Linked DNA regions of Caenorhabditis elegans. The protein of the gene in region 3 purifies or fractionates together with the protein of the main gene of each other region. This does not show direct contact. Each region holds a gene or a part of one and is shown on either strand. Other genes may lie near its edges.

What was found.
Region 1: the proteins of dnj-19 (region 3) and dnj-11 fractionate together in Caenorhabditis elegans (co-fractionation; one large-scale study listed by BioGRID). This does not show direct contact.
Region 2: the proteins of dnj-19 (region 3) and pold-1 fractionate together in Caenorhabditis elegans (co-fractionation; one large-scale study listed by BioGRID). This does not show direct contact.
Region 4: the proteins of dnj-19 (region 3) and slc-25A26 fractionate together in Caenorhabditis elegans (co-fractionation; one large-scale study listed by BioGRID). This does not show direct contact.

What each region holds. Positions count from the first base shown.
Region 1 is NC_003282.8:6,583,147-6,590,879, forward strand, and holds dnj-11 (DnaJ homolog subfamily C member 2), read left to right. Parts: upstream 1-2,724; coding exon 2,725-2,808; intron 2,809-2,860; coding exon 2,861-3,137; intron 3,138-3,182; coding exon 3,183-3,718; intron 3,719-3,772; coding exon 3,773-3,910; intron 3,911-3,966; coding exon 3,967-4,329; intron 4,330-4,379; coding exon 4,380-4,751; 3' UTR 4,752-5,040; downstream 5,041-7,733. Other genes in the region: F38A5.2 (TraB domain-containing protein), read right to left, coding at 528-637, 686-1,000, 1,046-1,183, 1,228-1,353, 1,409-1,707, 1,763-1,990, 2,062-2,107, 2,159-2,254; lec-11 (Galectin), read right to left, coding at 5,089-5,339, 5,408-5,543, 6,144-6,342, 6,829-6,917, 6,967-6,990; nspb-1 (Nematode Specific Peptide family, group B), read right to left, coding at 7,650-7,703.
Region 2 is NC_003283.11:12,037,629-12,047,009, forward strand, and holds pold-1 (DNA polymerase delta catalytic subunit), read left to right. Parts: upstream 1-3,927; 5' UTR 3,928-3,981; coding exon 3,982-4,068; intron 4,069-4,148; coding exon 4,149-4,397; intron 4,398-4,442; coding exon 4,443-4,814; intron 4,815-4,857; coding exon 4,858-4,991; intron 4,992-5,038; coding exon 5,039-5,768; intron 5,769-5,813; coding exon 5,814-6,827; intron 6,828-6,873; coding exon 6,874-7,322; intron 7,323-7,367; coding exon 7,368-7,578; 3' UTR 7,579-7,719; downstream 7,720-9,381. Other genes in the region: Protein kup-1, read right to left, coding at 3,149-3,238; F10C2.5 (alpha-1,2-Mannosidase), read left to right, coding at 7,804-8,236, 8,290-8,484, 8,533-9,125, 9,188-9,381. UniProt on the Caenorhabditis elegans protein: Possesses two enzymatic activities: DNA synthesis (polymerase) and an exonucleolytic activity that degrades single stranded DNA in the 3'- to 5'-direction.
Region 3 is NC_003283.11:5,500,221-5,507,501, reverse strand, and holds dnj-19 (DNaJ domain (prokaryotic heat shock protein)), read left to right. Parts: upstream 1-2,649; 5' UTR 2,650-2,656; coding exon 2,657-3,457; intron 3,458-3,515; coding exon 3,516-3,607; intron 3,608-3,655; coding exon 3,656-3,893; intron 3,894-4,075; coding exon 4,076-4,264; 3' UTR 4,265-4,469; downstream 4,470-7,281. Other genes in the region: Nuclear hormone receptor family member nhr-47, read right to left, coding at 509-658, 708-886, 1,626-1,743, 1,887-1,984, 2,028-2,049; T05C3.2 (NACHT domain-containing protein), read right to left, coding at 4,492-4,757, 5,172-5,272, 5,681-5,817, 5,870-6,013, 6,564-6,731, 6,784-7,042, 7,092-7,281.
Region 4 is NC_003282.8:8,926,950-8,935,178, forward strand, and holds slc-25A26 (Mitochondrial carrier protein PET8), read left to right. Parts: upstream 1-3,492; 5' UTR 3,493-3,493; coding exon 3,494-3,651; intron 3,652-4,111; coding exon 4,112-4,475; intron 4,476-4,522; coding exon 4,523-4,678; intron 4,679-5,209; coding exon 5,210-5,341; 3' UTR 5,342-5,842; downstream 5,843-8,229. Other genes in the region: cfim-2 (RRM domain-containing protein), read left to right, coding at 6-148, 507-922, 969-1,077, 1,134-1,358, 1,874-1,992, 2,038-2,080; D1046.18 (uncharacterized protein), read left to right, coding at 3,293-3,373; D1046.4 (MFS domain-containing protein), read left to right, coding at 7,048-7,073, 7,658-7,860, 7,953-8,101, 8,227-8,229.

The DNA.
Region 1 (7,733 bases), on a different chromosome or scaffold from region 3:
TGAAAAGATATACGAGTTAGTGGGTTGGTTGTCATGGGTAACTTGTGCGGAGCAGGTGATACCAGAAAAGCTAATAACGAGAGAAGACGGGAGAAGCACGAAAATGAGATTAGGTTTGCTATTATTTCATTCTTTGAATGGGGAGTTGGTAATTCGCGTAATTTCTCATCCCTGTGGTACGGTTTTTCCTTCTTTTTTTTTGAATAAAAATATTATGTATCTAATTCAATTCCCATAAGATTGTGAGAATACTTCGTTTTTACAACAAATCTAACATGAAATTTCCTCATAATCGTATGAGAATTGAATTAGGTAACATTTTCATTAGAAAAAATAGTGAAACCAGTAAAATTGAGAACTTATCGAAAAAAAACCACCAAAAAACGGTGGAAAACAATGCCACAGGCTTGCAAAACTACGCGCTGCCTCTCTCTGTGCGACCTTGATTTTGCAAAATTCACGTTTAATTTCATCGTTTAATTTCAACATTCCCAAAACTAAATTTTAAACAAAAATTTCCAACCTACCAACGAGACTCTATGAATGTGCTAACACGATTGAAGATAGCACGTCCTCCACGATAAGCCAAATATCCCAAAGATCCCCAGACAACAATACGGACGCCAGTGGAGAAAACCTGGAAATAAAGAAATGAAAGAATTAAAATAACTTCAGATTAATTTACCTTTGTTCCGAGGCTTGGTGGTGGGATGTTCATAAGTGGATCAAAATCAATATTTGTATTCCATTTGTTAACAATTCCTGGAGTATGTCCGATTCCAACGACAGCAACAACTGTCAACGGTTGAAATTGTTGCCCAGTTGTTCCACGAAGCCATTGTGCACGTTTTTCGACTGAGTTCCGGTGTACGAGCATATGCAAAGCATGCGTCATGTAGGCATCACGCTCTTCCACAAAGATTTGGGATAGTTGTGGGAAATCATCAGCCATCTCGGCGAGAAGTTGCTCCAGAAGGTCACGTTGCTTGCATCGTTCCACCTATAATTTTGGAATATTTTTGGAAAAGGTTGAATAATTAAATACCTCTTCTGCAGTTATCTTCTCACGATGTGAAAATGCAACGTGGAAGAAGAAGCGAATTTTTTGCCAGATGGAGAGAGAAGCCAGTGCACGTTGAAGTGTAACTTGAATAGGACGATCACCGAGAACTACACGACAATTCTGAAATAGTTACTTTGTAAATAAAACTTTTTAAATACTCAAACCTCAGTTGCAACTGCTGCACGATGAGCAGCACGGAATTCTCCTCCGGGAGCCATGGAAAGTTCACGTGTTACATGCGCTGACATTGACAGGAGAAGAACGTGCAGAATTCCTTGAATCGCGCCGTTCTTAAAAAAGTTGAAAATATTACAACATTACAACAACAAAAATATGAGAACTCACTTGTTTCATGGTCTGAATAATTTTTTGAGAGTTGAGATCTTTCGCTTCGCTCAAAAGCCGAGCCTCATCCATCGATATGATTGAAATTCGTGATGGACACAGCTCAAGCATGACAAAATCAGGTTGCACAGCACGAATTGTGTTGGATACGTCTTCCTGCGACTCTTTTGAAAAGTGAGCTGTACCGATGAGATAAATGGTGGAGTCGAGAATCGCTTTCTTCCATTCTTCATCAGAATCGCTCAGCACGGGGTTGCGTGGAGGAATCGCCAGATTTGTAGGCCATTTGAGCACTGTTACTGTAATTATAGAATATAGATATCAGTGTTACATCGAACTGGAGTTTTAAGAAACCTGTATTGGCATTTGGGACGAAGTCATCTGCTCTTTTCCTTCCGAAATGGTACCCTCCACAAACAGGATTGTTCACCACTGCACCATCTTCTGTTGCTTCAGGAGCTTGTTCCAGCTCATAATCCAACTCGGCATCATCTCCAACATGCTCATCAAAATTTGAAGTCGAATCTGCGAGTGATATGATGGACTGCTCGGCTGTCTCACTTGCACCACCAACAACTGAAACTAAAAAAATATTAAATATTTTAAAAATAATTATCTTTCCAAACAACTTCAAGCGATGAAAAAAAACTTACGTCCTTTTTTCGAATTGATTGTCAGAGAACGCATCCGGAATAGATCCTGAACATGGAGATTGTTAATAATTTTTACAAATGTAATATTTCAGCATACCTCTTCAGTCAATTGATCTTCCGATGGTGGTGGCACGTCATTAGGGTCTGGAAACTCAGTTCCATCTGGATTCAAGTTTGACGATGACTCTGACATCTGAAAACCTTATTTTGGATATAACTTGAAATTATAACATGTTTTATTTCATACAATCGCGTACAAAGCGGAGCTTACAAAGCTGAAAAACAATTAAAATGAATCCAAATCACTCCAGGTTTCCATTTTAAGTTACAAGAAAAAAAAACAAAAAAGACCAGCGAAGCGCGTTTGCATTGTGTCTCCGTCTCCATAATTTATGTTGTGACTCGGTTAAAACCGCGCCGCACTCGACATTTTGCAACCATGGCACGATTTCTTCTTTCGTAAATCCCCCGCAATTATTTTCAGTAGTTTTTCAGCTTTATTTCTCAGATTATGTCCCTTTTTCTTCTCTTTCGTTGCTGAAAATCTTTTATGAACAACTGTGGTCACGCGATTTAAAAAGAAAACAGAAATTTCTAGGCTGATTATGTTCTTTTATTTCGTTTTAGGACTAAAGTAGGCTCAAAATAATTTAATAATTATAGATGACTACGGGCAATTTACAAGTTGCAATTTATGGATTCACAGCTCGAAGCAGAGCTTTTGAGCCAGCCGGAATATGCTATGAAGTGAGTTTACTATCACCTATGTCCGCAAATATTTCTTAACTGACATTTTCAGACTCGCCTTATTCGAGATAAACTCACACTGGGCCACTGTACGCTTCCAATCTATAAAAACTCTCCTGTTGCAAAGCCTGTTACGGAACAGCAAAGAAAAAAGTCGTCTGAAGAGCCAGCTGAATTGAGAAAAGATCTTTTTGATGCTGATAATGAAAAATATGAAAAGTACTTGATGAAGCTGGATCCAAATGACTGCAAAAATCAGGATCACTACAAAGTTTTAGGATTGTCGAAGCTCAGATGGCAAGCTACATCTGACGAAATTCGTTTCTGTTGTAAGTTAAAATGAAGTGAGAATTTTTTGAAGAGAATTATTTCAGATCGTCAAAAGGTTTTGAAGCATCACCCGGACAAGAAGAAGCATCGTGGAATTGTTATGGAGAAGGAAGAATACTTTACTTGTATCACAAAAGCTTATGAACAAGTTGGAATGTCTGACGTCAAACGTCAAGCTTTCGATTCGGTCGATCATAAATTCAACGATATTATTCCAAATGAGAAATCAATCAACCATAATAACTTTTATAACGAACTTGCTCCAGTTTTCCAATTAAACTCCAGATGGTCCAATATCAAGCCAGTGCCAGAACTTGGTAAATCAGATGCGACCCGGGAGGATGTCGAGAATTTCTACGATTTTTGGTTTAACTTCCAGTCATGGCGCGAGTTCTCGTATTTGGACGAAGAAGACAAGGAAAGAGGAGAAGATCGGTACGAAAGACGAGAGATGGAGAAACAGAATAAGGCAGAAAGAGAAAGACGGCGGAAAGAAGAGGCGAAGAGAATTAGAAAGTTGGTTGATATAGCTTATGCTAAGGATCCTAGAATTATCAAGTTCAAGAAGGAACAGCAAGCGGTAAGTCTATAAACTTTGCCTAAACTTTGCCGGATTTTCAATTTTAAATTTTAGAAAAAAGATAAAGCAAAGGAAGATAAGCAAAGAGCCATCCGTGAAAAGCAAGAAGCTATCGACCGTGAGAAGCGTGAAAAGGAAGAAGCCGAAGCTAAGCAGAAAGAGGAAGCTGACAGAAAAGCAAAGGAAGAAAGAGTGAGCACAATACACCAGAATATTGTCGATTTTTAAATACTAACTATTATTTTCAGGAGAGAGAAAAGAAAGAGCGTGATATTGCCAAGAAAGCTATGTCTCAGCAGCGTAAGCGTCTGAAGAAACTCGCTGATGAAGCTGGCCACTGGACGGAGAATCCTCGCGATAAGCTCACTGAAATGGAAAGAATTGAGCGGATTTGCATTGGGTTCACTGTTGATCAACTCAGAGAGCTGTGCGAGAAGGTCGAATCACTTTCAATTGCTTCTGAAATTCAAACTGCGCTAACAGATGCTGAAATTCTGAAGAAAGAAGCTGCTGGAGCAAAGGTCACAATCACTGAGGATAAGAACAAAGAAAATGAAAAGCAAGCCGACAAGGAGACATGGACTAGTGAAGAGATTCAATTATTGGTTAAGGTAAGACATAAACGATTGGAAATCATTAATTAATTTTCATATTTTTAAAGGCTTCAAACACATTCCCACCTGGAACCGTGGAGAGATGGGTTCAAATTGCCGATTACATTAACGAGCATCGCAAGGATTCTACGGGTTTACCACCAAAAACTGAAAAACAGGTTATCAAGCAATGCAAAGCTGTTCAAACGATGAACGTCAAGCTACCATCAACTACTCAAAATCAGCTAGGAACTGCGCTACCAGATGAGGATGTCTGGTCAGCAACCGAACAGAAAACTTTAGAGGACGCTATCAAGAAGCATAAGTCAAGTGATCCCGAGCGGTGGGAAAAGATCTCAACAGAAGTTGGCACAAAGTCCAAAAAAGCCTGCATTCGTCGTTTCAAGTATCTCGTTCAAATGGTTAAAAATAAGAAATGATCTTCTAGTCCAAGTAATATCTTCTCTAAATCTTCCTCATCCCTTCATATTATTTCTTGTTTCTCCTCCATAACTCTTGTTTCCGTTCCCATCACATTTTAGCTCGTTATATTGTTTTTTCTTCATTTATTCATTTATTCTTGAAAGCCTTAATCATTCTTGACTCTTGACCAACTCAAATTCAGTAGTACTATGTACTTTTTTTTTTGTTTCTGTCATCAAACTTTTTCTGCAGTGCTCAATATTCATGTCTCAGTTATGAACATTAGATGAACGGTGCGTCCCTATCAATTTGTCATGTTCATTTATTCATTCATTTTCACAATAAGTACAAATTTCAATAGTGATGGTGACGGTGGTGATGATAACCGTCCATGTAGATAACTTCAGGTTGAGTATAGATGATTGGAGTAGCAGTTGGATACACGATTGGTTGAACACTTGGATATATGGGTTGAACCATTGGTTGCATAATTTGCTGAACAACCGGAACAATCTGTGGTTGGGGAACAATCATTGGAGGCGGTGGTTGAGCAACAACGATCGGAGTTGGAGCAACAGGCATTTGCATTACACCGATTTCAGTACCTAGAATTATTAAGATTGGAAATCAAAAAACAAAAAAAAATCCCCAGAATATTAAGATAAAAACCAACCTCCTCCGTTATGATGTTTGAAGTTTTCGAAATGAATTTTTCCAACTCGAAGATCTCCTCGAACAGTCATTGCAACGATTCGTTTTGGGCATTTATGATGATGATAATGTCCGATGTGATGTCCGTCCACGTGGATCTGGAATTAAATTGATTGTTTTTACGAGAATATTGTTTGAATAAAAAAAAACTATCTGTGTTCAATAATCTGATATTCTAAACTCAAATAATTAGAGAAATTAGGTTTTAACATAAAGTCTTTCACACTCGTGGGTACGGTAGCTGAGAAGTTTCAGGACCCGATATCTTGATTTTGGGTTGAAAATTGTTTTTTTACGCAAAAAGGTAATATGTATTCACAATATTTACGAAAAAGAAAATCTACTTAGAACTTCTAAATTTGTTTTATTACGTAGGCATCTACAGTTGCGAATTTCATCATATTTTACGCGCATGGGTCTCGCCACGCTGAAACCGAGTTACTGTAGCTCGTGTCAATTTACGAGCAGCTCGACACGATATACAGTCACTTCGCGTGGCGAGACCCCTGCGTGTAAGATGTGGCGAAATTCTCATTTTTAAACGTCTACTGAATATGGCTCTGATCGACGTTATTACTCGAACATGGATGAGAAGCCGGGAGAGTTTTTGAACGTTTTTGAGACCATCTCGTAAATCCACACGGCCGAGTTTGCCTCAAATGAGACCCTGTGGATTACAGAACAATAGAAGAACCAACCGAATATTTTCTGTGCTCATTATGAATTCTCATACAAAATGGTCGGCCAAACATGATTGTATTCTGATGATGTTCTTCTCGATGCCATCTTCCTCTTTGTAAATGATTAAATACAATCACATTTTGACCATATGAACCCATTCGAACCGATATATGAAGAGCAACTCCATTTTTGGTGGGAAATTCGACTGTGAATCCTCTGTAATATTGAAAAGGTTATCTATTACTCAAGTGCAAAATGTCGTGATTTCTTTTCTTAAAATACGGCTTCAGGTCTCGCCACGACGATATTTTGTTAAATGGAAACGAGTGCCTTTGAAGATTACTGTAACTTCTATTACGAAACCATCAGATCATGAGAATGCCTACCGTTTTGGTGCGGGAATATCTCGTAGCGAAGGCACTCTCTTCACTCTCTCTGCTGTCGCTATTTTCGCGCCAGAAAGTAGGCATTCTCATGAAATGGTGGTTCCTTAATAACCCCTCTCCCGTGATCTCAAACTGTTTTAGTATTAAAGTTTTTCAAAAGGAAAAATACGTTTTTATTCGAAAATGGGTTCAGAAATCATTGAAAATTACCGTACTCTTTAAAGGTGCACACCCGTGAAACTCGAAAAATTTGGAATATGGTAATTAAAACAAATTACCCTGATTCTAAAATAATTAATTTTTGAATTTGACTAACCCCTGTGGACCTTGAAATACTTCTCCATGAATTTCCACAGATGAATGTTCTCTCATTCCCTCATAGATTGGTGTAGTCAATGGAATTGGCTGAAAATAGTTACTTTAGAACAAATAAGCTCATAAACTAATGACTCACTGGATTTTCAATGACGTGAACCATTATTTATTTGATGAAAAGCTGCGAATTAGAAACTCGAAACGAAAACGGAAAGATGGTAGACTTTTATGCCAATTCTTTATCGGTGCAGTTTCGAAAGAAATGTGGAAGTTGAAATGGAATGATAAGAGAAAAAAGAATGACGACGAGTTTTATGTGAATCACACATACGATAAAATACTTCGAATGATGTTTGCTTAAAAAGGTATGGACTGTCATTTCAGGCACACCTTGAACTCTCTAACTAACTGTTTGGTTTAGACGAATTATTGGAGATGGGGAATTGGAACACAATTATATTAACTATGAAACCGTATTAAAATTACCGTTATTAAATATTCCTGAATTACTTCATTTCTTAAAGATTTACTCTGTTATACATAATTAGCATTAAAAAAAAACGAATGTGAGTTCAATCTTTGAGAACAGCTATGAAATTCACCTAAACCTCAAAAATCCTCGGACATGATCCAAATGAAATGTGTTTCAAACTCCAGATTCATTTTTTGCATGCTGCTTTTTGAACTCTATAGAAAAACCTTCTTGATAATCAAACCATACGGTAAAGACACATTAAAAATAAATAACATTAACACAACTAAAATGGAAACAGTTTATTCGGTGGTTCATATAGTACACATATTCCAAAATGAAATATCTCTTTACTGATTATTTGTCAATTTCTGTGTTGGAGCAGAAGATGGAGCTTGTTGTCCCTGAATTTATAGATATTTAGATATTGAATG
Region 2 (9,381 bases), 6.5 Mb from region 3:
AACTGAAAATTCGCTGAACTGGAAATAAAATAATGAAACATTGTTGGTATGCATATCTAAAATCTCATAAGAAGAAAGAAGCCCAATAGTTGCAACAAGATATTTTCCTTTTTAAATGGAAAGGAGAAGACAACGAAACAAGATTCTAGCTCATTTCGGTTCACACGATAATCTCTGATTCGTGTTAATCCCTACGTGCCACGTCATTATAGAAAATGCAACATGGGACACTCAATCAATGAAAGCCAGATGCGTCGGGCTTTGGAGTTGGGAAGCCTGTGGCGCCGGATGTGAGATGCAATGTCGTTCCAGGCGAACAAACACACTGGGCCTTTGCTTTTTTTATTATTGTAGTTGTGAGCCGGATATCACTTTCTATTTTTGGACTTTGTATGCCTCCAAATGTAAAATTATCTAGAATCATAAGGCATATCACAAGGTTTGAGAGGAAATCTAAATTTCTAATCAAATGACGACTATCGAGCAGAACAAAAGCTATGACTAATGAATCAACAGCTCACTAATCATTCTACCTAGGATTGATGTTTATGCCAAAATCAACTGATATGTTGAGATTTTTTGATTATAATTTGAAACTATTCAGAGTCAAACAGCAATTCGTTTCACTTCACTAAATGTGTCAAAGCCTTGTACAAATATGACTATACACAATTACAACAACATCATCATCATCAATATATAATTGGTGTGAGCGTCCACGACGTACCATAGCAGCATTTTGAATGAGCGCGAAATAACCGCCTAGTCTCCGTCACAAATGTACAACACATAGTTGTCCCGTCTTTGTCGTCTTTCCCTTTTTTCTTGTCGCTCCACTTTTCAACATCCTTCCAGCTCTTTTAAATAAAATATTTTGCACACACACACACACACACACACACACACACACACACACACACACACACACATACATACATACATACATACGCCGTGAGCGAAATAGCGGGGACAATAGCGATAGCCAACAGTTGGGACCTATATGCCACCCATTGTTTTGCAACTAAACTAACCTTGACAACTACCAATTAGGCAAAGTATGGGTGTGTTCCGGCACACCTGAAACTTTGCTCACCTACGACCAATCTGACAGCGAGGTTGAGACGAAAGTATCAGGCGGCCGGATGGCACAACCTGTGTTGAGGATGAGAAGTTATTAGAATGGTGGCCTCTAGAAGGAACCTGGACTAGAATAGAAGTCGTTCGTTGGGATGCACGGATGAAACAGAGCGCCATGGGCACAAGAACACGACTGAAGGCGCGCGCGCCGTCGCTCATACACTCACATACACATACACTGAGGGAGAAGGGGAGACACATTCGACGACCGCTCATATTGAGGGTGGAATAGGAGGACGAGGAGCGACGAAGAATGAGCGGGGCAAGAGGACGGATGGAGGAGGCGAGAGGAGGGCGCGCACACAGCCAAAAGGGGCGGGACGACGACTCCTCCCCGCCTCACGTTTCAGCAAGCTCTGGGCTTTAGCTAACAAATGGTGTCAATAGAGTACATTGAATGATCCCATCACAAATAGGCCTTGTTTGGAAGAATCGGAAAACATACTAACAGTACTTATTCCTACATTATATGAATAGTAGAAAAGCTAAAGTGTGGGAAAACATCAAAATTAAGATATTAATTCGCAAGTATATATTCTCGCAAATATCTAGGGAAGCGAATCTTCGTTCAGTTGAGAATTGAGTTTCAAAAGTAAGACAGCGATAGGAATAGCATGACGGTGTCATAAAAAGACAAAGCTGCAATAATTCCATTGAATATTATGATTTGGAAGAAGAAGAAGCATCGGCAAACATTCTTGTAATAAAAATCGCTTGAAATTTATACATTTTCAGTTTCTACAAATCTTTATATTTCTGCAAATCACGGAGGATTTGAAGTCAAATGTTACTGATACTTATTCCGAGCTGATTCGGGATGCGACGAATACCTATAGAGGTCCTGGTGTTCTCTGTGAGATTTCAATATTTCGTGCAACATGAAATAGCAATGATCGACTCAAAATGCCACGTCACGATAATTACATATACAAAGGCCATCTACAATCGTCGGCATTGTCGTAAAACTTTTTGTGTCATCGAGTTGTTAGACAAATATTTCCGCGGCGGTTCGGTTCGGGAGACCACCACCTCCACCACCGCAGACGGTATTGAATTGGAGGGGAGCAACACAAGGACACACGATGAATGGCCTGACGAAGAGGGGCACAATAGGGGCTCTCCTTCTCCGTCGCCGCCGCCGCAGTCGACAGTCTTTCTCTGTTTCTTTCCTGTCTTTTCCATCACTTTCCTCCGGACGTCGTCATCGTTGTCCCGGTCACTACCTTAACCACCAGGCTGTTTGTGTTCAATTACCTGCGGGCGTTTTGTGTATGTTCGCGTCTGTATGTGAGAGATGAGGATGAAAAAGACAGAAAGAGAGAGAGACTAAGAACACGCTGTAATTACACAGCAACCTCATCCTCTGGATAATACTGACCGCCAGTGTGTCGTGTCAACAAGTCGGCTTAAATTATGAAGTAATTAGTCGCTCGTTCGTGGGTTATAGAATGGACTGTCCAGAATGAATTGACACGACATACTTTTTAATAATTCTTTACAGATGAAGGAGAATTCAGTGGCCGATCCTACATTTCTTCCACGTGTTACAAAATGTCATTTTAGAACGCTCACTCTCACAGAAATAAAGCAAATTCACTTTCTAGACAAAGCGAGTCAAACGGCAACTTTCATCTTGAAGTCAGGTCCACACAAGTACAAAACTTCAGCCAAGCTATGGAAGTTTTAAAGTTTAAACCCTGGAATTTCACTAGATTGTAACCAGAACTATACTTTGCAGAGATCACTGGAAGAAAAAGCTTGAACTATTTAAATTTTTATGCGATATTTTCAAAATGAAGAATTGCGTCATTAAACTTGACTCCAGCAAAACGATCAAAAGTTTCCCAATTCAAACAAACAAAACGCTCTCGAAAAAAACGAGCCGATCATCTTGCATCTTCCTCTTTGTAGTCAAATTTGAATTCGCAATTTCTCACTTTGATAATATCGAAATATTTATAAAAATTTCAGACGTAATATTTTAAACAGATTTATCTTGAAAACTACTCACCTTCGGTAGTTGAAGCTCGCTGTCACTCAGATCTTCTCTAACGTCGCCGTGTATTGAGTGATCCGATCCATAATCGAGCTCGTCGTCCATGTCTCTGCTGAAATAAATAAAATTTAGATACATTTAAACTGTTATGCACAATGAAGACAAGGGAGAAAAGTTCAACAATGAATAAATATATTTTTCAATGATCGAAAAGAGTTTGAAGAAGGCGTTCAATATATCTCGCAACAATAACTATTTTAAACGAGTAGAAAATGTTCAAAGGACGGTAAATATGCTTTTCGCGCAATAAAACTCGAGAGCTGAAAGCAAAAAGTCGAGATTGAACAAAATAAGGTAATACAAATTTATCATAGCGCATTAGCTTGATTTTTCGAAAAAAAAAACATATAAAAGAATGCGAGGAAATAGTGGCCAGGTTTTTCTCAGTGAAAAACGCTTCCAAACAAAACCGTAAAATCGATTGGCCCAAAAAACAGATTTCAAACAGCGCGGTAGAAATGTTTTTGCAGTGGAGCGCACATTCGCTACCCAAAATGCGCGGCAAAACAAAGCGAAAAGATTTGGAAATAAAAAAAATTGACTTTCAATTCTTATTTTATTGTTTTATTTATTGATTATCACAATCTAAACGGATTTTCGATGTTATGAAACTTTAAATTCCCACCTAATCGCCTTAATTCTCTCCCTATTAAATCTTTAAACGTTTGTTCAGACAAAAAAACGATTCGCGGCGTTTCGTTTGAGCACGTTTACATTACTATTTTGACAAACAATTTCTTTCTACTTTCATAGTTTATTTATTGTTCTAATGCTGAGTTTTATCAGAAATGACCTCCAAGCGTCCTGGCGGGAGCTCGTTTCAACCAGAAGTGAAGCGAAAGCGTGAAAGTGACGAATTCGAGCAGTGTTACGTTGTAAGTTTTTCATATTATGATTTCAAGCTTTTAAAAATTGCATTTTTTATTTTTAATGATCACTAACCATTTATTTTCAGTCAAGATTCGAAAATGAACTTCCATCTGTACCAACGATTGATAAAACAGGATGGGCCAGGCCAGCAGTCGATAAAGATCTCGGAATTAGCAAAAGCATTGCGTGTCAGATCTTAGAGGTCGAAACGTATCATGAAGACGGCTCTGCAACATCTTACGACAGAACAAATGTGAAGTTGTATGGTGTAACCAAATCTGGAAATTCGATTTGTGTCATTGTGACTGACTACTTTCCACATTTTTATTTCCAGGTAATCTAAGCTTTAAAAAATAAGTATTGGTAATATTTCTTACAGGCACCACAAGGATTCGGTGTCGAGCACATTGGAACTGCACAATCTGCAATTTGCAATATGGTTGCTGCAGCAAAACGCCGAGGTGGTAGCGGTCAAGCTCAATTGCCTGGAAAAGTAGTTGATAATCTTGTTCATGTGGAGATAGTTCACGGAGAGAATCTTTATTACTTCCGCGGTGCTGATACGAAAGTTCCTTTTGTCAAGGTGTCAGGATCTACAGAAGCTCTTCACAAAGCGCGAATGGAATTGAAAAATGGAGTTAACTTGATGGGAAAGGGTCCTGTGAACGTTGGGAATTTATACGAGTCAAATATTAATGTGATTGTCATGTTCTTGGCGAAAACGAATATTGTTGGATGTGGCTGGATTGAGGTTTTGACAATATTAGTTTTTTTTTAATTCTTTATGATTTCAGATTCCTGCTGGAAAGTGCCGAATTCTTTCAAACAGTGAAAAGTCGTCTCGTTGTCAAATAGAAGTCACAGTTCCGGTCAAAAACCTGATTGTTCATGAAAGTGATGGTGAATGGGCTGGAATTGCTCCTATTCGGTAAGTTTGAAAGTTTGAACTTACTTTTGAAAAAATAACTTTTTTAGTACTTTGTCTCTGGATATCGAATGTATTGGTCGACGTGGAGTGTTTCCCGAAGCAATTAAAGATCCTATTATTCAAATAGCTAATCTTGTGAAAATCGAAGGTGAAGCAGAACCATTTGTTCGTAATTGTTTCGTTCTTGGAACATGTGCACCGGTCGTCGGTTCAAATATCATTCAATGTGTGAATGAAAAAGTTCTTCTCGAAAAGTGGGCTGAATTTGTTCGTGAAGTGGATCCCGACATTATCACTGGATATAACATTCTCAATTTTGATCTTCCATACATTCTGGATCGTGCTAAAGTTCTATCACTGCCACAAGTTTCTCATCTTGGTCGTCAGAAAGAAAAAGGCTCAGTTGTAAGAGATGCTGCAATATCATCGAAACAGATGGGAAGTCGAGTGAACAAGAGTATCGATATTCACGGAAGAATTATTTTTGATGTACTTCAAGTTGTACTTCGGGATTACAAACTCCGAAGTTATACACTCAATAGTGTCTCATATCAATTTTTATCCGAACAAAAAGAAGATGTGGAACATAATATTATTCCTGATTTACAACGAGGAGATGAACAAACTAGGAGGCGATTGGCTCAATATTGTTTGAAAGACGCATATCTTCCTCTTCGTCTGCTTGATAAATTAATGTCAATTATTAATTACATCGAAATGGCTAGAGTCACCGGAGTTCCTATGAATTTCTTACTGACAAAAGGTCAACAAATCAAGGTAAATCAAAATATATTTTAAATTATAATACTGAAATTGTTGTAGATTCTATCAATGATGCTACGAAGATGTAAGCAGAACAATTTCTTCTTACCGGTAATTGAAGCCAATTCTGGGGATGGTGAAGGATACGAAGGTGCTACTGTCATTGATCCGATTCGAGGATTTTACAATGAACCAATTGCAACACTTGATTTCGCTTCTCTATATCCATCCATTATGATTGCTCATAATCTCTGTTACACGACACTTTTAAAATCCCCACAAGGAGTTGAGAATGAGGATTATATTCGGACACCATCTGGCCAATATTTTGCAACCAAATCTAAGCGCCGTGGGCTTCTTCCCGAGATTCTCGAGGATATTCTGGCTGCAAGAAAACGAGCGAAGAACGATATGAAAAACGAGAAAGACGAGTTCAAAAGAATGGTTTACAATGGACGACAATTGGCGCTTAAAATCTCTGCAAATTCTGTTTATGGTTTCACTGGTGCAACTGTTGGAAAGTTGCCATGTCTCGAGATTTCTCAATCAGTTACAGCTTTCGGAAGAAAAATGATTGACATGACGAAACTCGAAGTGGAGAGAATTTACAAAAAAGGAGCTCTCGATGGAAAATGTCCAGCAGATGCGAAAGTTATTTATGGCGATACAGATTCTGTAATGGTGAAATTCGGTGTCGAAACTGTAGCTCAAGCAATGGAAATTGGACTCGATGCTGCTAAAGAAGTCAGCAAGATTTTCACTCCGCCGATCAAACTTGAATTCGAGAAAGTTTACTCCCCATATTTACTTATTAACAAAAAGAGATACGCTGGCCTTTACTTCACTAAACCGGATGTTCATGACAAGATGGATTGTAAAGGATTAGAAACTGTTCGCCGTGATAACTGCCCTCTGGTTGCAAAAGTTCTCGGTGTTTGCCTCGAGAAATTACTAATAGAAAGAGATCAACAATCTGCTTTGGATTTTGCGAAACGGACAATTAGTGACTTGCTCTGCAATAAAATTGATATCTCATTGTTGATTATCAGTAAGGAATTAACAAAGTCTGGAGATGTAAGTTCGATTTCAAAACCTTACGAAACTAATTGATTATGTTCAGAAATATCAAGCAAAGCAAGCTCACGTTGAGTTGGCGGCTCGTATGAAGAAAAGAGACGCTGGAAGTGCACCAAGACTTGGAGATAGAGTTCCATATGTTTTTGTCGCTGCTGCAAAAAATGTTCCGGCATACGAACGAGCTGAAGATCCAACTTTTGTACTTCAAAATAACATTCCATTGGACACCAAACACTACTTGACTAATCAACTCGCCAAACCACTTGCCAGAATTTTCGAGCCCATCTTGGGTGATAGAGCAGAAAAGATTCTGGTGGAAGGAGAACATACAAGAGTTCGTACAGTCGTTCAGAGTAAAGTTGGAGGTCTTGCAGCGTTCACAACGAAATCTGCAACTTGTCTTGGTTGCAAGAGTGTTTTACCAAGAGCAGAATCAGAGAACGCAGTTTGCAAACACTGTGAGCCGAAGCTTCCAACGATTTTTGCTTCTAGGTAATTAGAAATGCAATAATTGTTCTACTATATTTTTCATTTCAGAATGAACACTATGCACGAACTTGAAAACCATTTTGGTCGCCTCTGGACCGAATGCCAAAATTGTGCAAAGACTATGCAAGACAAAGTGAATTGCTCGGCTCGAGACTGTCCGATCTACTATATGAGGGAAAAAGTTCGAAACGAGCTATCGGAGGCAAGTGCCGTCATCGAACGATTTGGAGATCCTTGCTTCCAGGCACCTACTAAATGAATTAATTATGATCCCGGTTTATTTGTCTAATTATTATTGACTGTGAATGATCTTACCACACTATTCATCTCATCACACATTTTTCTTTATTACTGGTTATCTTATAAACTCGCGTTGATGATTAAAACATATGTTTTTAATTCTTTAAACTTTTTTGTAAGCGATAATCGCTTAAAATACTTGTCTGATATATTAAATTTGAATTTAAAATACCACAATTTTCAGATGATCACTCGAAAAGCAATATTCTTTTTAGCATTAGCGTCAATTATTCAAGCATCAGATGATTCCGAAGCTCCCGATAATAAAAAGTCTTCAATAAGATTCACTCCATCAGTTATTGATTCTTATAGAGAAAAAGTTCAAAAAATGTTCTACCACGCCTACAACGGATATTTGGATCATGCATTTCCACTAGATGAACTGAAACCAATAACATGCGTTGGACAAGACACCTGGGGATCATTCTCTCTTTCATTAATTGATGCTCTAGATACTCTTCTGGTGATGGGAAATACAACCGAATTCCGAAGAGCAGTGTCACTTGTTCTTGAGAAAGCTCGTGATGATGCTAATGTGAATGTTTCTGTTTTCGAGACGAATATCAGAGTTGTTGGCGGATTAATATCTGCACATATGCTAGCGGGAAGGCATAAAGGTAATTTAAATTTCACAAGGAATATTACTAAACCATCATAAGATTCATTCCAGATCTTGTCGTAGATTGGGAAGGTTATCCATGTGATAGTCCGCTTCTCAAATTAGCTGTTAAAATGGCTGATCGACTTATGCCTGCTTTCAATACAGAAACTGGAATGCCCTATGGAACTGTTAACTTGAAATATGGAGTTCATAAAGATGAAACACCAATTACTTGTACAGCTGGTGTGGGCACATTTCTTATTGGTAATTTTTAAGATTTTAATAATATCCGGCTAACTTCCTTTTTTGAAGAATTTGGTACCCTCTCACGTTTGACTGGCGATGACAAATACGAAAAAGTGGCTCTAAAAGCGTTGGATGCTTTATGGTCGACAAGATCACCAATCGGACTCGTGGGCAATCATATCAATGTTCAAACAGGACAATGGACGGCAACTGATTCTGGAATTGGTGCTGGCGTTGATAGTTATTTCGAGTATTTAGCAAAAGGAGCATATCTATTCAGAAGACCAAGTCTTATGAAACAATTTCATGAACATGCAACATCAATTAATAAACATGTTCGGAAAGGTGAATGGTTTATGTGGGTATCAATGGCCAAAGGATCTGTCTCCTTGCCAATTTTTCAATCTCTTGAAGCATTCTGGCCTGGAACTCTAACAATGGTTGGTGATGTTCAAGATGCATCAAGAATTATGTTAACATATTCTGAAGTTATACGAAAATACGGGTTCCCACCTGAATTTTATAACATTCATAATGAAGAGCCAGGAGAAAAACGAGCCGCATTTCCTTTACGGCCTGAAATGGTTGAATCATTGATGTATCTGTATAGAGCGACAAAGGATGAAACGTGGTTAGAACTTGGAGCTGAAATGATTGATGTTAGTTTTTTATTTTAAACTAAATCTTGAGCTTAATGCGTTTGAAAAAGTTTAAATTTCAGGCAATAGAATCATCAGCCCGAACTAAATGTGGCTATGCTACAATCAACAATGTAAAAGAGCATAGTATTGAAGATAGAATGGAGTCATTTTTCCTTGCTGAAACAACTAAATATCTTTATTTATTGTTCGATCCAACAAACTTCATTCATTCAAAAGGAGATCAAGCTAGAATATTGACGAGTCCAAAGAATTT
Region 3 (7,281 bases):
ACGAATTCCAAAAAATTGGGAAAATAATTTTTTGTAAAGTTTTAAAATAAATCGAATTTGGAACTAAAATTAAAAAGTAAATTTTAATAAACTTCGGCGTATTTTTGTACCAAAAAAAGTGAATTTTCCAATTTTGAAAAAATCCCAATCATTCGTTCAGTCTTATTTTTATAATAGTAGATTTCATGAAAATTTTAAAATTTTTAGCTCAAGCTGTTAGACGTGATTTTATACATTTTTCATATTACAAAAATTTAAATACTTATGCAAATTTTTAACAGTATATGACCATTGGGGTTCTGAATTTAATTCATTTATAATAGACCAATATGACCAAATTTTCTGGATTTTTTGAAATTTTCAGTCAAGTTTTGGTAAAATGCCAAAATTTTCAGAAACATTTGAAATTTTTTGGTCGACTTTCAAAATTAAAAGAAACTATTTTAATGCACATAAACAATACCAAACATCTATTGACGCTACTTTATAAATCATTTCTTCAACTCACTTCACAAGAAATAGGTTGCATAAATCGACTTGGAGCATTGAGAGCATCTTCTAACGTTGCATAGGAATGCAAATCGGCGCATCTACTCAAAAGTAGTGTGAAGTTATTTTCCAACGTTGTAAGCCTATCAGCAATTGGATCCAGACAATTCTGAAATTATGCATTGCATTGTTTTTGGAAATTTCTATTTAAAAGTTACCAAATCAATTTTAATATCCTTCATATCCATACTCTCGGGGCTCTCATCATTCATTTGTGGACTTCCTGAAGATCCATCTCTGATATGTTCTGAATGATGAACACCTCCTTCCATATCATTGTCATCATGTCTTCTTTTTCGTTTTGTGTATCCAATTCTATCACGGTCGTTTTGAATTGCTGAATAGATTCAGATTTTAAAAAAAATTAAATTGAAATATAATTGTATATTGTTCTATGAAATTTTGTAACTTCTAGATTGATGAGAAACTGGAAAAATTTCAAAATTGGTTTTCAAAATTTGTAATTTTATCTAGAGCCTCTTAATTAACGGCTCTTAAAAAATTGTTCTCCTTATTTAAACTCAAAAATACGGTGACCCTGGTCTCGACGCGACAGTTTTTTGATCAATGCGAAAAGGTGTGCGCCTTTGAAGAGTACTGTAGTTTGAACTCGCTATTGTGGAATTTTCATTGATTTTGAATAGTTTTTCTCACAAATTTATGTGTTTTTAATATTTTTACCAATTGCAAAATTATATTTTTCATAGAAAATCGGAGAAAAATTGATAAAAATTCATCAGCAAAGTTTAAAGCTACAGTACTCTTTAAAGGCGCATATATTTTTATATTTATCAAACATTTATCGTGCCGAGACCGGCAGAGAGGGAAAATTCGCCAAATTTCGCGTCTGAATAATACTTTTTTATTCTATAATTGATCTAATTGTAAGAAAAATATATATTTCAACAGAAAAGTGTTTTCTAATTTTTTCAATTTAATATTTATTTATACATATTCGGCCGTGGAAAATGGCAGGTGATTTTTTATTTATTTCGGGTTGCTTCTACGGCTTTACTAATCGATGTACCATGTACCCTAGGATCCTTCCATAATCTCAAAGTATACCAAAAACTTACAATTCTTATCCATTCCAACGGCCAAACATTTTTGAAGTCGACAATAACGACACGCGCATCGAACTCCTTTGTTAACTGGACAATCTTTATTCCCTTGACACACGAATTCTCGGTTATTCTAAAAAAAGGGTGATGTTTGATGCTTGTTAAATTGATCTTACAACATTTTGTGATTAGATATCAATTTGAAACATTTTAATTGAGAGAAAAATCAATATTTTCAGATTCATTTCAACTAGGTCTATTCTTATTTAAATTTACCACAAGAGCCCGACGAAAAAAAGTTTTGCATCCATTGCATGAAGCAACGCTGTAATGTTTGCCAGTTGCAATGTCGTCACAGACTGCGCATAGTGTACCTGATAATATTATGTGAAAAATGTCCAAAAACAGAACCCCAACCTGGTGGCAACTTTTCACTCATAATTTTAAAGTTTATGGATTATTTAGAATTTATGAATATTTTAAATATAGCTTGTAATAGTAGCATTGGCTTTTTTATTAGTTAGAATGCAGTATTTATATAGATTGTAGTTGTGTGCGTGCTAAGATTATTGGAGTATTGGTGTTGTCACGTCTTCAGTCTCTCTGCCGTGCGCTCACGAGAATGGGGCAAGCGAAGTTGCGGCTGACGCGTTATTGGATGCTGGCGCGTTTCGCGACCAGCGTTGGTTTTATCGAGAATTTTCTCTGCAGTACAAAGTCCCAAATTCGGTGGTTTTTTATCGATTTGACGCGCGTTTGCTCAATTTCTCGATTTTCCGCGTTTTTTATTCAGTTCTCATTAATTAACGTTCGATGCTTGTTCACAAAATTCAGTTTTTGTTTTCACTTGCTCGTTGGTGTCGTTCGTTGTGTAAGAAAATTGATTTCTAAATATTTTGTTTAAATTGCTAAAAAATAATTCAATAATTTACATTATTGAATTATTAAAAGTTGTATTTTTCAAACATCTCGCGCATTCTCCGTCCGTTTCTCTCAATTTTTCACTGTCATGTCCGCATTTTAATATTCATTTTTTTTCAGGTAATATGTTTGGAGGTGGAAGTAGTGGTCCCGTGGACACCACTTTATACACAACACTCAATGTGAGACCAGACGCTTCGCAGGCCGACATTAAGAAATCTTACTTCAAACTTGCTAAAGAATACCATCCAGATAAAAACCCGGACCATGGAGATAAATTCAAAGAGATCAGTTTTGCCTATGAAGTTCTTTCGAGCCCTGAAAAACGACGCTTGTATGACGCCAGAGGTTTGGAAGGAGTTCAAGGAGGAGGAGCTGGTGGTGGTGGAGGAGGCTTTCCTGGAGGTCTGTTCTCTCACTTCTTCGGCGGTGCTGGCGGTGATGACGATGACGACGATGATGATATGGGTGGTCATCCATTTGGTGGCTTGTTCGGTGGAATGGGTGGAATGGGACGAGGTGGCCCACGTCGGCGGAAATTCCAAGATACTGTTCATCCCCTCAATGTTACACTCGAAGAGCTTTACGTCGGAAAAACATCAAAGCTGAAGCTTTCCAAAAAGGCACTCTGTAAAACTTGCGAAGGGTCAGGTGGAAAGAAGGGAGAAAAATATAAGTGTGATGCATGCCGTGGTCGTGGAGTGAAGACGATCGTTCAGCAAATTGGCCCCGGAATGCTCCAACAAATGCAGGTTCACTGTGATGCTTGTAAGGGTTCTGGAGGCAAAGTTCCAGCAGGTGATAAGTGCAAAGGATGCCATGGAGAAAAGTACGAAAACGTTTCGAAAATATTGGAGGTTCACGTTCTTCCTGGCATGAAACATAACGATAAAATTACATTCAAAGGAGATGGAGACCAATCTGACGTAAGTGCATGTGAAGATAATTGATTTAAAAAAATTTCTAAATAAAAATATCTTTTAGCCAGATGGTGAGCCAGGAGATGTTGTCATTGTTATTCAACAGAAAGATCATGATATTTTCAAGAGAGATGGAGATGATCTTCACATGACCAAGTAATAACTTTTTATCGATTTTTAAAAATTAAGTTTTACTGTTTTCAGGAAACTATCACTGAATGAGGCACTTTGCGGCTATAATTTCCTTATCAAACATCTTGATGGCCATCCTTTGGTTCTTTCTAGTAAACAAGGAGATGTTATCAAGCCAGGAGTCATCAGAGGAGTTCTTGGAAAAGGAATGCCAAATAAGAAATACCCAGAACTCAAAGGAAACTTGTTCGTTGAATTTGAAGTCGAATTTCCAAAGGAGCATTTCCTCGATGATGAAAAAGCTTATGCCGTAAGTATTTTTATTAAAGATTTATTGTTCTTAATGTATTGTTCGAACTGTTTTTTAAGGTTTTGTTTCATTTACTGACTTTATTTCCGTTTTAAAAAAGCAACAAAAATTTATGTTTATAAATTGATTAGAATAGGATTTGTATGTTACGTTTTATTTATCTAAAATTTTCTTTATTCCAGGTTCTGAAAAGCTGCTTCCCTACCTCAAAAGTTGTCAATGTCACCCCAGCTGCCGCAGAAGTTTCTCTTATGGAATATGACGAGAAGAAGTACAGCCGAGGACGTGGCGGAGACGCTTACAATGAAGATTCGGACGAAGAACAACACGGAGGACATCACGGACAAGGCGTCAGATGCCAACACCAATAGTCAAGTTTTATTCCAGTTTATCATTAAAATTGTTACCCTTCCCCCACCACCATCTCCTTCTCATCCCACCCCCACTTGAAAGAATCTCCATTTCACTATCCTTTTTTCTGTGGATATCATCATTCGCAATTGTTTGCAATTCAATTCATTTAGTATAAGAGCTCTGCAAATCAGGACGAACTCAAAATAAAGACAAATTTTTACGAGCAAAATTTTTAAAAAACATTTCACATTATACTGCACACATGTGACTTCTTTGTAACCCCTCCTCCTTTTTTGTTATCCAATAGAGATTTGAAGCGGGTAACCGCGGCGGTGACGGCTCCCAGATTTCTCAAATCAAATGTGTCCAATTCGGCTTCCTCTGGAACATGAATATGCTGAAATTCTGCAAGGTGACGTCGACAAGGGAGAAGGGCGATTTTGTTGAGAGTTTCTTCTTTTACCATCGGATCATTGAGAACAACTGTGAGAAGGGATCCATCTTGTGCACCTGGAAAGTTGAAAATTATTTAATTGCTTTATTATGAAGACGCAGAAAAATGCGCTTTTTGAAATCGAAGTGCAAGCGCGCTCCACCACCAAATTTTTGGGTCTCGTTGAGTATTGGCGGGAGAACAGTATATTCAAACGATTTCTGTTATTATTTTCGTTGTTTTTTGGTTTTAATTATTTTTTATGCCGAAACTAATGTTATAACGTTCTCAATTACATTTTTAAAAAACTTTTCTCTGCTCAACTTGTGTAAAAGAGTAGAAAATGCTATGAAAACCGCCAAAAAATAATTGAAATCGTTTGAATTTACGTGATTTGCCGCCAATACCCAACGAGACCCAACGGCTGGAGGCGGGGCGTTTTTATTTGCCGATGGAGCGCGATTGCGCTCTGATTTTGATTTTCTGTGTACCAATAATAACGAAAAATCCATCTGGATCGTAACTCCAACAGGTTATCGTGGCATGAGGCCGGAAAGTTCCAATTAATTGACAATCGAGGACTCGGAAAACTCTGAAAATTTCCAGCGATTATTGAATAACGAATGGATAATATAGTTGTTTTTATTACGGGAACACGAAATTCTGAAAATGCGTATCGCACAACATATTTGACGCGCAAAATATCTCGTAGCAAAAACTACAGTACTTCTTTAAATGACTACTGTAGCGCTCGTGTCAATTTACGAGAATCATTTATTTATCGATAGAATATTAAAATTAAGCTCAAAAATTGAGAAAATAACGCGAAAATTAGAAGAAAATTGGAACAGAAATTAGTCTCGAAAATGGAGCCAGTAAATCGACACAAGCGCTGCAGTATATATTTTAAGAGTTACTGTAGTTTTTGCTACGAGATAAACTGCGCATCAAATATGTTGTGTAATACGCATTCTCGGAATTTTGTGTTCCCGTATTAAACCTCAATGTTTTATGTCCACTGTGATTGTAGAACACGTATTGAGCATTCGGAGAAAATGAGCAAGTAACATCGTTCACTCCTTCTGTCACATTTCCGATTAGAGTTTTTGCAACTTGACCGCTCCGCATATCGATTACCTTTAAATTTAAAGAAAAACTATAATTTGAGGGTGAACATTGAGAAACGAACAAAAAGACCGCCTTTTGCAGGTGCAAATAATCCCAATTTTCCGTCATTCGACACAACTCCGTTGAATTGAGTGAGGGATCGATGGAATTTTCTGACTCGAATATCCCAGACGCTTGATTTATTGTCACTTTCTACGACTATTATCTGAAAAGTTTTTGGAGTTGGAAAAAGGAAAAAAAAAACGAATTCTCGTAAAGCTTTGACCAGGGAGAATATTTTTCTAGACTTTAAATGTGGTACTTTAAGAGAAAATAGTTTTGTAATATTATGAGGACGCAGAAAATGTTGGTTTACAGGAACCTGTTGTCGATTTACGGAAGCCTACTGTAGATTTACGAAAAATCTATAGTGGATTTTTGGGAACTTGTGTAGAATTACGGTAGCATATTTTTTTTCTGTTTGAGATTGTTTCAAAATTTTTGAATTTCTGCATTTGCCTACAATACCTAACGAGACCCACCGTTTAGGGGCGGAGCGTATTTATTTGGCCGTGGAGCGCGCTCCGATTTTAAAAAGTACACAATTTTCTGCGCCTCGATAGCAACGATTTTTGTTCAAACTTTCAACACCACCTTTTCTGAGAAGAAAGTTATCTCACATAGGCAGAATAAATGTTAATCTTTTTAAAAACGAGTTATGCCTGCAGGCAGCCGTGCCTACCTCGACTTTTATTGCGAATTCATTTTTTCTTTACCTGATTACTGTTGGATGGCATCGCAATAATTTTATTAATCATCACGTCTTTCTGCTTTTTCGACTGCCTCGGCCGAAACTTGATCTTTTGCGTCTTCTCAACTGCATCAAAAACCAAAAGACTATCGTGTCCCTTGAAAAGTGTAATTACCACTCCAGTAATTCCATCCTAAATTAAAACATTTTTGTGCCTAACTCTACTATTATATTTCAAAACTTACCCTCATCACAGCACACTCCTTGAAAAGCCTGCATGGGTATTCAAAACTGTACTGGACACTGAAATCAGTGATACTGTAGATGGTAAGTCTTGCGATTTTCTGCTCCGCCGAGTCTACTTGTCGGTAGATCACACCTATCAATGCCTCCTTATTCATATAGAAAATTTGGAATACATTCGGAGCATGCACAGAATGAATTACAGATTGAGTTCTGAGATCCCAAAGAAGAAGCTGATCAGACTCGATTGCCACAATTGTTCTGGAAATATCTTTGAATATGATTTGTAAAAAATTATAATATGATTTACCTTCCATCAGCTGAGAGCAAGGAATCAGATACTACAGCTCCATGAACATTGGCTACTAACGAAGCAATATATCTATGAGACTTAATATCCCAAATTCCGATGTTCTTTCTAGTCTGTACAGCTGCTAAAGTTGGATTATCCTTTGCCACAGATATTTTTTCAATCGATTGTTCCATTGTAGACACAGGAA
Region 4 (8,229 bases), on a different chromosome or scaffold from region 3:
TGCAGCGGTAAAACAAACTATGGAGATTCTCCCAACTAAAACTATCCATGGCCAAAGTCCAACTGTTTTGTCGTACAATAAAACGAATCAGGCAAAGCTGGAAGATGCGCAAGCAAAAAATCAGACCCGTCCAGACGTCAAGAAAAAGGTAAAAAAAGAGAATATAACACTATCGTTGAAATTAGTGCTGTGACTCTCTGCTACTCCACGGCGCACCGATATAAACGTTTTCCACTTGGTACTTGTGGTCGTCGAGGGAAGCGCAGTCGGTTGCGCAGTTGGCTGTCAGTCAGCAGTCCGCGTGATCGATTCCCGCCCGCGCCTAGAAACTCAGCGGTGTTTTGTCTTTATGATCATGAGCTGGTAGCAGGTGCAATATTGATTCGGAGTCTTACCGGCGTCCACCTTCTGAAGGGTGTGCGTTAAAAGTTCATCCGAACAATTTATCACTTTTTAATAAAGTTTTCGAAAAGTTATACTAATTATGAACATTTTTAATTTGGCAGGGTTTCGAAGAAGGATGTGTCAATATGGGAACTATTCGTATTGGAGCTGGAGGGCAAACTGGTCGAACTGGAACAAGTGTCTCTGGTAGATCTGGACCTCCACCTCTCATGATGCAGCAAGTTCGACCAACTCCTTTGATGAGCCAACCTACATCTCTGCCAAGCAATCTAAATCAAGCTCCTCAAATGCGATTACAAATCAACGGACAACAAGTTCCATTAATGAACCGTGCTCCTGTGCCACAACAAACAATGTTAGGAAATGGACCATTAGGTGGAATGAATCAACAAATTCAACAACAACCTCAAATGATGATGGGACAACAAGTTCGACCAATGATGCAAACATCAATGGGAATACAACCAATGATGGGAATGAATGCACCACCTCCAATGAATAATCAATTCCAGAATAGGTAATCGTATAATAATCCTCTATCATTCTTTTTCATTTCCAAATAGTTCTAGACCACCACAACTTGGTTCAATGGGTGTTCAGCCACTTATGCAAATGAATACAGCTATGCGTCCTCCTATCAACGGTCTTCCACCAGTCCATGTCAATCCACAGGTAATGGTTTTTTGAAAACTAAAAATAATTTTGAATGATAATTTTATTATTTTCAGATGTTCCCCGGACTTCAAGGAACAGTTTTATCTGACGCTGAGTTCGAAGATGTAATGACAAGAAATCAAACTGTATCATCGTCAGCTATAGCTCGAGCAATAACTGATGCATCTGTTGGAGATATTAAAGGAGCATCTGAGACTATATTGACAGCAATTCAATTGATTAAAAACAGTCGAATTGGACATGATGAAAGATGCAGACAATTGGTTTATGGATTGGAAGTACGTTTAAAAAAAATCCTTCTTGAGCAAAACTCTAATTTCCATTGAAGTTTAAATGATAGAAAATGGACCTTAATGACCGTTAAAAAATGTTCGATTTTTTATGATTTTTCGATAAAAAACTCGATAAAAAATTTTTCATCGTTTGTCAATTTATTAGTTATGTCTCTGTAAGAAAAACTTAATTGATAAGAAATAAATTTACTGAAACAAAACTTTTTTGCTAACATATCAGTGATTTAAAATTTAATTTATAAATCTAAAAAAAACGGTGTTTCAAATCAAATATCAAAGAAAAAATCAAGAAAAACCGATGAATCTAAACATTTATGCAAATTTGAAAAAAAAAACCATCAAAAATTCAGAAATTTAATTAAGTTTTTAAACAGTTATCTCAATATGGTCATTATGGCTTTTTTCTTTCATTTGATACAAAATTTCACAACGACCATACTCCACCTTTACAGAAATACAAAGTAAATCGCAATTTTTTTTCATAATTATATATTTTCCAGCACACACTCAAAGGCCTTGAATCAAAAGGATATTCGTCTCGTTCAAAATCACATCGTGATCGTTCAAGAAGTCGCGAAAGAGATCGCAAAAGAAGAAGACGCAGTCGCACTCGCTCACGGTTCGTTTTGGAGCAACAATTTTTTTTGAAAAAATATTTTTTTAGCTCATACTCGCGGTCACCATCTCCACGCCGTCGTCGTTATTAAATAACACGACTTTCTTCAAATTCAAGATTATTTCTATTTTACTCTTCAATTTTCACTTTTTCAACAATTTGGTAATGCCGATGCTTGCTTTTGCACAAAACAATTTTCAATTTTTCAGATCCAAAAATGTTATATAATCTCTAAATTTCATTCTCAATGTTCACTGGTCGATTTCGATTTATTCTCACTTGCATACGGGATCTGCTCACTTGTACTCTAAAATTGTAAGTTTTTGACTTTTTAATTGATTTTCAGATTTGTTCTTTCAATTACCTTTCATTGTTCTATTTAAAATCGTTTTGAATGTAACTCCTCAAGTATTGGGTCATTTCGAAATTTCAGTTGTATCGGGAGTATTTCGAAAAAAGTATGCTATGAAATTTGTAACATTTTGCTAGTATTTATTGAGAGCACATTAAAATTGTAATATTTTCATTTAAAATAAGCTTGGGTTTGGGTAAGCATTGATTCTATAATGTGAAATTGATATTTTTTTTGATTGAAATAGATTTTTAATGGTGTTAGTTGTTTTTATCATTTAAGCTTCCTATGTGTTTAATTCTATATTTTGTCCTTTAAATGTAGTTTTGTTTATTCACTTACGTCTTGAAATTTGATAGGTTTCAGCTGAAATGATAATTTGAAAATTATTTGTTAATCCTTTTTGTCAAAAAATTTAAAAGTTTTAGGCATTAATTGTAATGTCAGTGATAATGTGAAGAAATAAGCATAGCTGATATTTTCTATTGTATTTTTTTATCTCATTTCAATTGTATTTTCCAACAGGTCCAGCAGCATCCACGTGGCATCGAGTTCAAATCGGAATCGTCAAAAAAAATCCCCGCAAAATCCTCTCAACAGAAATTTTTTCTTGATCTGAAATTCACATTTTGTTTTCTAAAATTTCCAAACATTTTAAATGATTAATTGTAATTCGAGCACATTCGATGAAAATTCATTGAATTTGTTGACAATTGTGTTGTGAATCCCGTTTCAATTCTTCAATAAGAATTTAATTGGTAAGCCAATATTTTTTATTGTATTTATTCACTTATCCAAAATCCCTGGTCTCATTTTCGTGAGTGCTTCCTTTTATTTTTCCTGATCCTCGCATTTACATGGTTGAAATCATTGCTTTCAGAATGTGTTTCAAGCAAAATAAAAAAAACTTATGTTCATATTTCAGAATACTGGCTATCTTCCAACTCAACAATGATTCGTGTACACATTTTCTCATCAGTGCTCACTATTGGATTATCTTTTATAAACGTTGTCTTTAAAAGTTTTGTTTAATTTAATAAATTGCAAATAAGAAATGTGTTTTCATTGCTTCCTTTCCCATGAAGTCGAATTTGTCGACTGATGTAGTACCTCTAGAATGAATTGGATATTTTAAATATGGAGTAATTTAGGATGCCATCAGAAGAAGGATCGGTGGTACGATGGCTCGTGTGTGGGGCGACAGCTGGTTTAGCAGTTGATATTGGATTATATCCATTGGATACAATTAAATCAAGAATGCAATCTAAACAAGGATTCATTGCAGCTGGAGGTTTTAAAGATATTTATAGGTGAATACTTGGAAAAAATGGATATAATTAGTTGGTTTTCGGACATTTGAGAGCTTAACCCAAAATTAAATTCAAAAATTCAGATAAATGAGGACGCAGAAAATAAACTTTCGAAATGGAAACAAAACGCTCCGCCCCCGAACCTAGGGTCTCGTTAGGTATTTGGCGGCAAATCTGTAAATCCAAACGTTTTAAAGTAGTTTTGCCAATTTCACCAATTTTCAAGTAATTTTCTTTTTTTAATCAATTTTGGCATAAACCTCATTAAACATATCTGGAAACATAACCAAAAAGCTTTTAAAAGTCAAAAATCGGTGAAACTCATCGAAAACGTTTGATTCACGGTTTTGCCGCCGAATACCTAACGAGACCCATAGCTCGTGGCCGGAGCGCCGATTTCAAAAGCGGCATTTTTCTGAGTTTTCTGCATAATAGCTGTAGATTAGATTCTCTATTTCAGGGGAATGATCTCAGTATTAGTTGGCTCAGCACCCGGAGCTGCCATTTTCTTCCTCACTTACAAATACATTAATGGACAAATGAAACAAGTAATTGAAGAAAGAAATGCTCTTGTGGATGCTGTTTCTGCAAGTTTGGCTGAAATTGCAGCATGTGCTGTAAGAGTACCAACAGAGCTTTGTAAGCAAAGAGGACAAGTTAATAAAAATGAACGACTGACGTTAATATGCAAAGAAATAATGGAAACTAAAGGAATACGTGGATTCTATCGAGGATACGGTAGCACTGTGGCTCGAGAAATTCCTTTTTCAATTATCCAGTTTCCTATTTGGGAAGCTTTGAAGAGGGCAGTGGCAAATAAAAAAGTTAGTTTTTTTTAAATATCTTAATCTACAATCACAAAATATTTCAGGAATCAGGTCGTTGTAGTCCATTGGAAGGAGCTGCTTGTGGAAGTGTAGCTGGATTTATTGCAGCTGGTTTAACGACACCATTAGACGTGGCAAAGACACGTATCATGCTCACAAAAAACGGTCCAGCTCCTGGTATTTTGAGCACATTAAAAGAGGTGAGTCTGAAGAATAAAACAGTTGAAAGAATCAAATTTATTGCCAATTTCAGTTGTGTACATATTAAGTTGCCTATATTAATTTGCCGATTTGCCAATTTTGGCGGAAAAACGACATTTACCGAAGATTTTCGGCAAATTGTGGTTTGTACATTCTTTTTGGAAATTTCAGAATTTCAATTTTAATCGGCAAAATTGTACGCATCCTATGAATGTTCTTAAATCTATTTTGAAAAATAAGAAAATTCTACGAAAATATCTAGAAAAAACGGAACATTTTTTAAAAAGGCAGGCAAATTGATGTTTGGCAAACGGCAAATCGGCAATTTGCCGATAATCAAAAATTCCGGCAAATCGGCAAACCAGCAATTTGCCGAACGGCAATGGCCGCCCACTCCTGACTCACAGTTTTCCATAACTACCATATAAAAGTTTTGGCGAAAAAGCGGCAAAGCTTATCTATCACCTTAATAAATCGCTTTAAGAATTGAACTAATTATCCTCTATCCAACCATTTCTTTTTAATTTCAGGTGTACACATCAAATGGAGTACGTGGGCTTTATTCTGGAGTCGTACCTCGTGTAATGTGGATTTCAGGCGGTGGTTTTGTTTTCTTCGGTGCCTATGAAACAGCAATGCATTTTACCAAATTTTTAGATTAGTCATCATTTATATTGTTGGTTTAGTTCTAGATCCTCTCTAGTTGTTTCTATTTTATTTTTTCCCTGTTACTCTAGGATTGCCCTGTCTGTTCTTTTTATCAATCAATTTTCATCAGTCCATCTGGATTGAGTCACATTCTCATTTTTCCTCCCAATACTTTCTGAACACATACCACATCACTCAAATTGTTCTTTTTCCTCCATTTTTCTTCCGACTTTTGATTGTTTTCCCTTCATATCTTTTGATAAAATCCATTTTTGCAGAAAACTGATTTTCGGTTTCTGCACAAAAATAGTTTCAGAATATTGAAAACGACTAGTCTATTCATATAGATGTTCTCTTTTTTTCAGATTATATAGGACCAGTTTTTGGATTGATGACTTTGTCCCCCTTCTTTTACTGTTCTCGTGTATCTACATAAATTTTTAGCGCATTGTTTCTGTTTTTATTTTGTTTTCTTTATTAAAATTTATATTTTTAAAATGAAAGCTAAAGCAATTTTTAGTTGTTGGCACAAGTCTACACAATTTAAAAACTCACAAAATAGTGCTGAATTTTATAATCCAAAGAATATCGAAAATTTCTGAAAAGTTTATTGTAAAAAACTTTTGTAATCTTGAAACATGGATTTGGCAGATTTTAAGTCATTAGACATAATTCTGGCATAATATATGCTGTACATGTTCCGCATTTAGATCTGTTACTACGTTGAATGAGATTACTTCTGAGATTACTACTTCAAGCTTCTGAGAAGCCACTATGAGCATTTCAGAAGTAATCTCATTAATCTTATGAGAAGTATACTATAGTGAGAAACTATAGCGATGATTACAGATAGTGAAAACCGGCAAATACTGTTTATTGTTTCTGGAATTTTTACAAGAGAACAAGAGATTATATCGTGTTTTTTTATATCTAGCCAAATGTTCATAATAAGTTCTGATCATTTCGTCGTATTGAATAAATTTCTAGAAAATAAAAAAAAACGATATGAAAATGTATTAAAAAAAAAACTCTTTTTCATATCTAGAATATAAAATGGGATAACGTAGTAAAAATACGTCCGTAGCAAAATAGTACAACGTAGTAAATTATCTATGTGGGCTTATCGTTCATTAAGATGTTCAGGAATAATGAAAAATAATTTCATCGTGAGTCCTGGTGTGAACTCTACTTCTCTTATTTCAATTAAGCTCAAATAGGGAAAACATTCACGTTTTCTTCAGCCGTAGGTTCTTGTGGCAAGAGGTAGGCGTAGGTTGCCTTGAAGGCGAGGTGAGTTTGTGCCTGCATAGAAATTTACTGGAAAATCTAAACTATGATTAATTTTTATCACTGATCACGAGTTATCAACTATAAAGTAGTTCAAATATTAAAAACAAGCAGAATAGAGAAACAGAAGGGTGAGTTTCAGGATGATTCATCTGCAACCATTCTCTTCAATTTTTCACATTCTCTCACTTCAAAACGGAATTGTACACAAATTTACATGTTTTACGCATTCTTCTTCTCCAACCCTTTTTTCTGTCCGCTTCGATCGAAAAACCGAAAAATAGGTGACACGGTCTATTCAAATAATACCCGAAACACCATCACCCCTTCCATTTCAATAGGCTGCTCTTTCCGTATTCGAAATTTCGAAAGCTTTTCCTGTTCAGGTTGTTGGCAAAATCGATGATTTTTGGAAGACGAACAGCCGAACGAGATGATTACGGCGGATAATCTTAAAACGTGAGTTTTCAGAAGAAAGTTATAAAATAGAAAACCAACGATGAACACTTTTGAATTCAGATTTTTAAGTCATTAAATCTTCAGAGTTTCTGAGTTTCTAAGAATTTTTTGCAACCGCAGCGAAGTCTTGAAAATTTGAAACCAACACTTATCAATTTTTTAGCTTAAGTTTTCATGTATCGTTTCAAATTTATGTAAAAACTTTGACATCCATTGTAACAGGAGCGAAAGGGTGGCAATATCGTAGTTGGAAATCTTTAGCAAGAAAAAACCTTCAGCAAGATTTCGACACTGCAAAAGCTTTTTGGTCGAGACGAAGGGAAAAGTATATATCGAAATTGTTTTCCTAGAATAATTATTTCAATCATTGCAAAATATTTGTAAACCCTCATAATTCTGCTTTACTGGTCAGCTGGTTTTTTTTTAACTAGATGTGAATCACGATTGTTTCAGAACCAACGAAAGTTCAATAAAATACGTTGGGCTCTTTTTTATTGAACAAGCATTATCATATAAAAGTATGCTTTATATTATACATACTTCAAGAAATAAATTTTTAAACTTTAATTTTAATAAATTTTCAGCCCAATCTTCTCTGCAACTCGTTGCACCAATGATCATCTTCCCGCCTATAAATCATTTCTTCATCGTACTCGTTTCCTTCTACTTCTCCTTGTTATTCTTCTAAATGCTACTGTCTACAGTAACACAATTCTAATCAATTTCTCAGTGATTTGTATGTCAGAAGAGAAGATTAGCACGATGTTCAATGGATCTCATAATGATTGTAAGTTGAGACATGAATCTAAATTGTTTTGGAAAGTAGTGTCACTTGGCATTATAAAATAAAAATAAAGTTTAAAAACTATTCAACTTTAGATGAAGTTCTCCGTGAAGCAATTGCAACAAGTATGAACGATTTCCGATCAATATGGTTCACATTTAGTTCAATTAAACAGAGTATTATGTTTATGATGTCACCATTGGGATCTTTACTTGCAATGTATCCTACTTGGATGTTAATTATGGTACGTCTCTTTTCTGATCATTTAAATAAACATTAATCTAGTATGTTATCATATGTAAACGCATTCTCAACATTTTTAATCGATTTTCTGAAATGAATGCTATCCGTTTGTAATGAAATTTTCAGAAA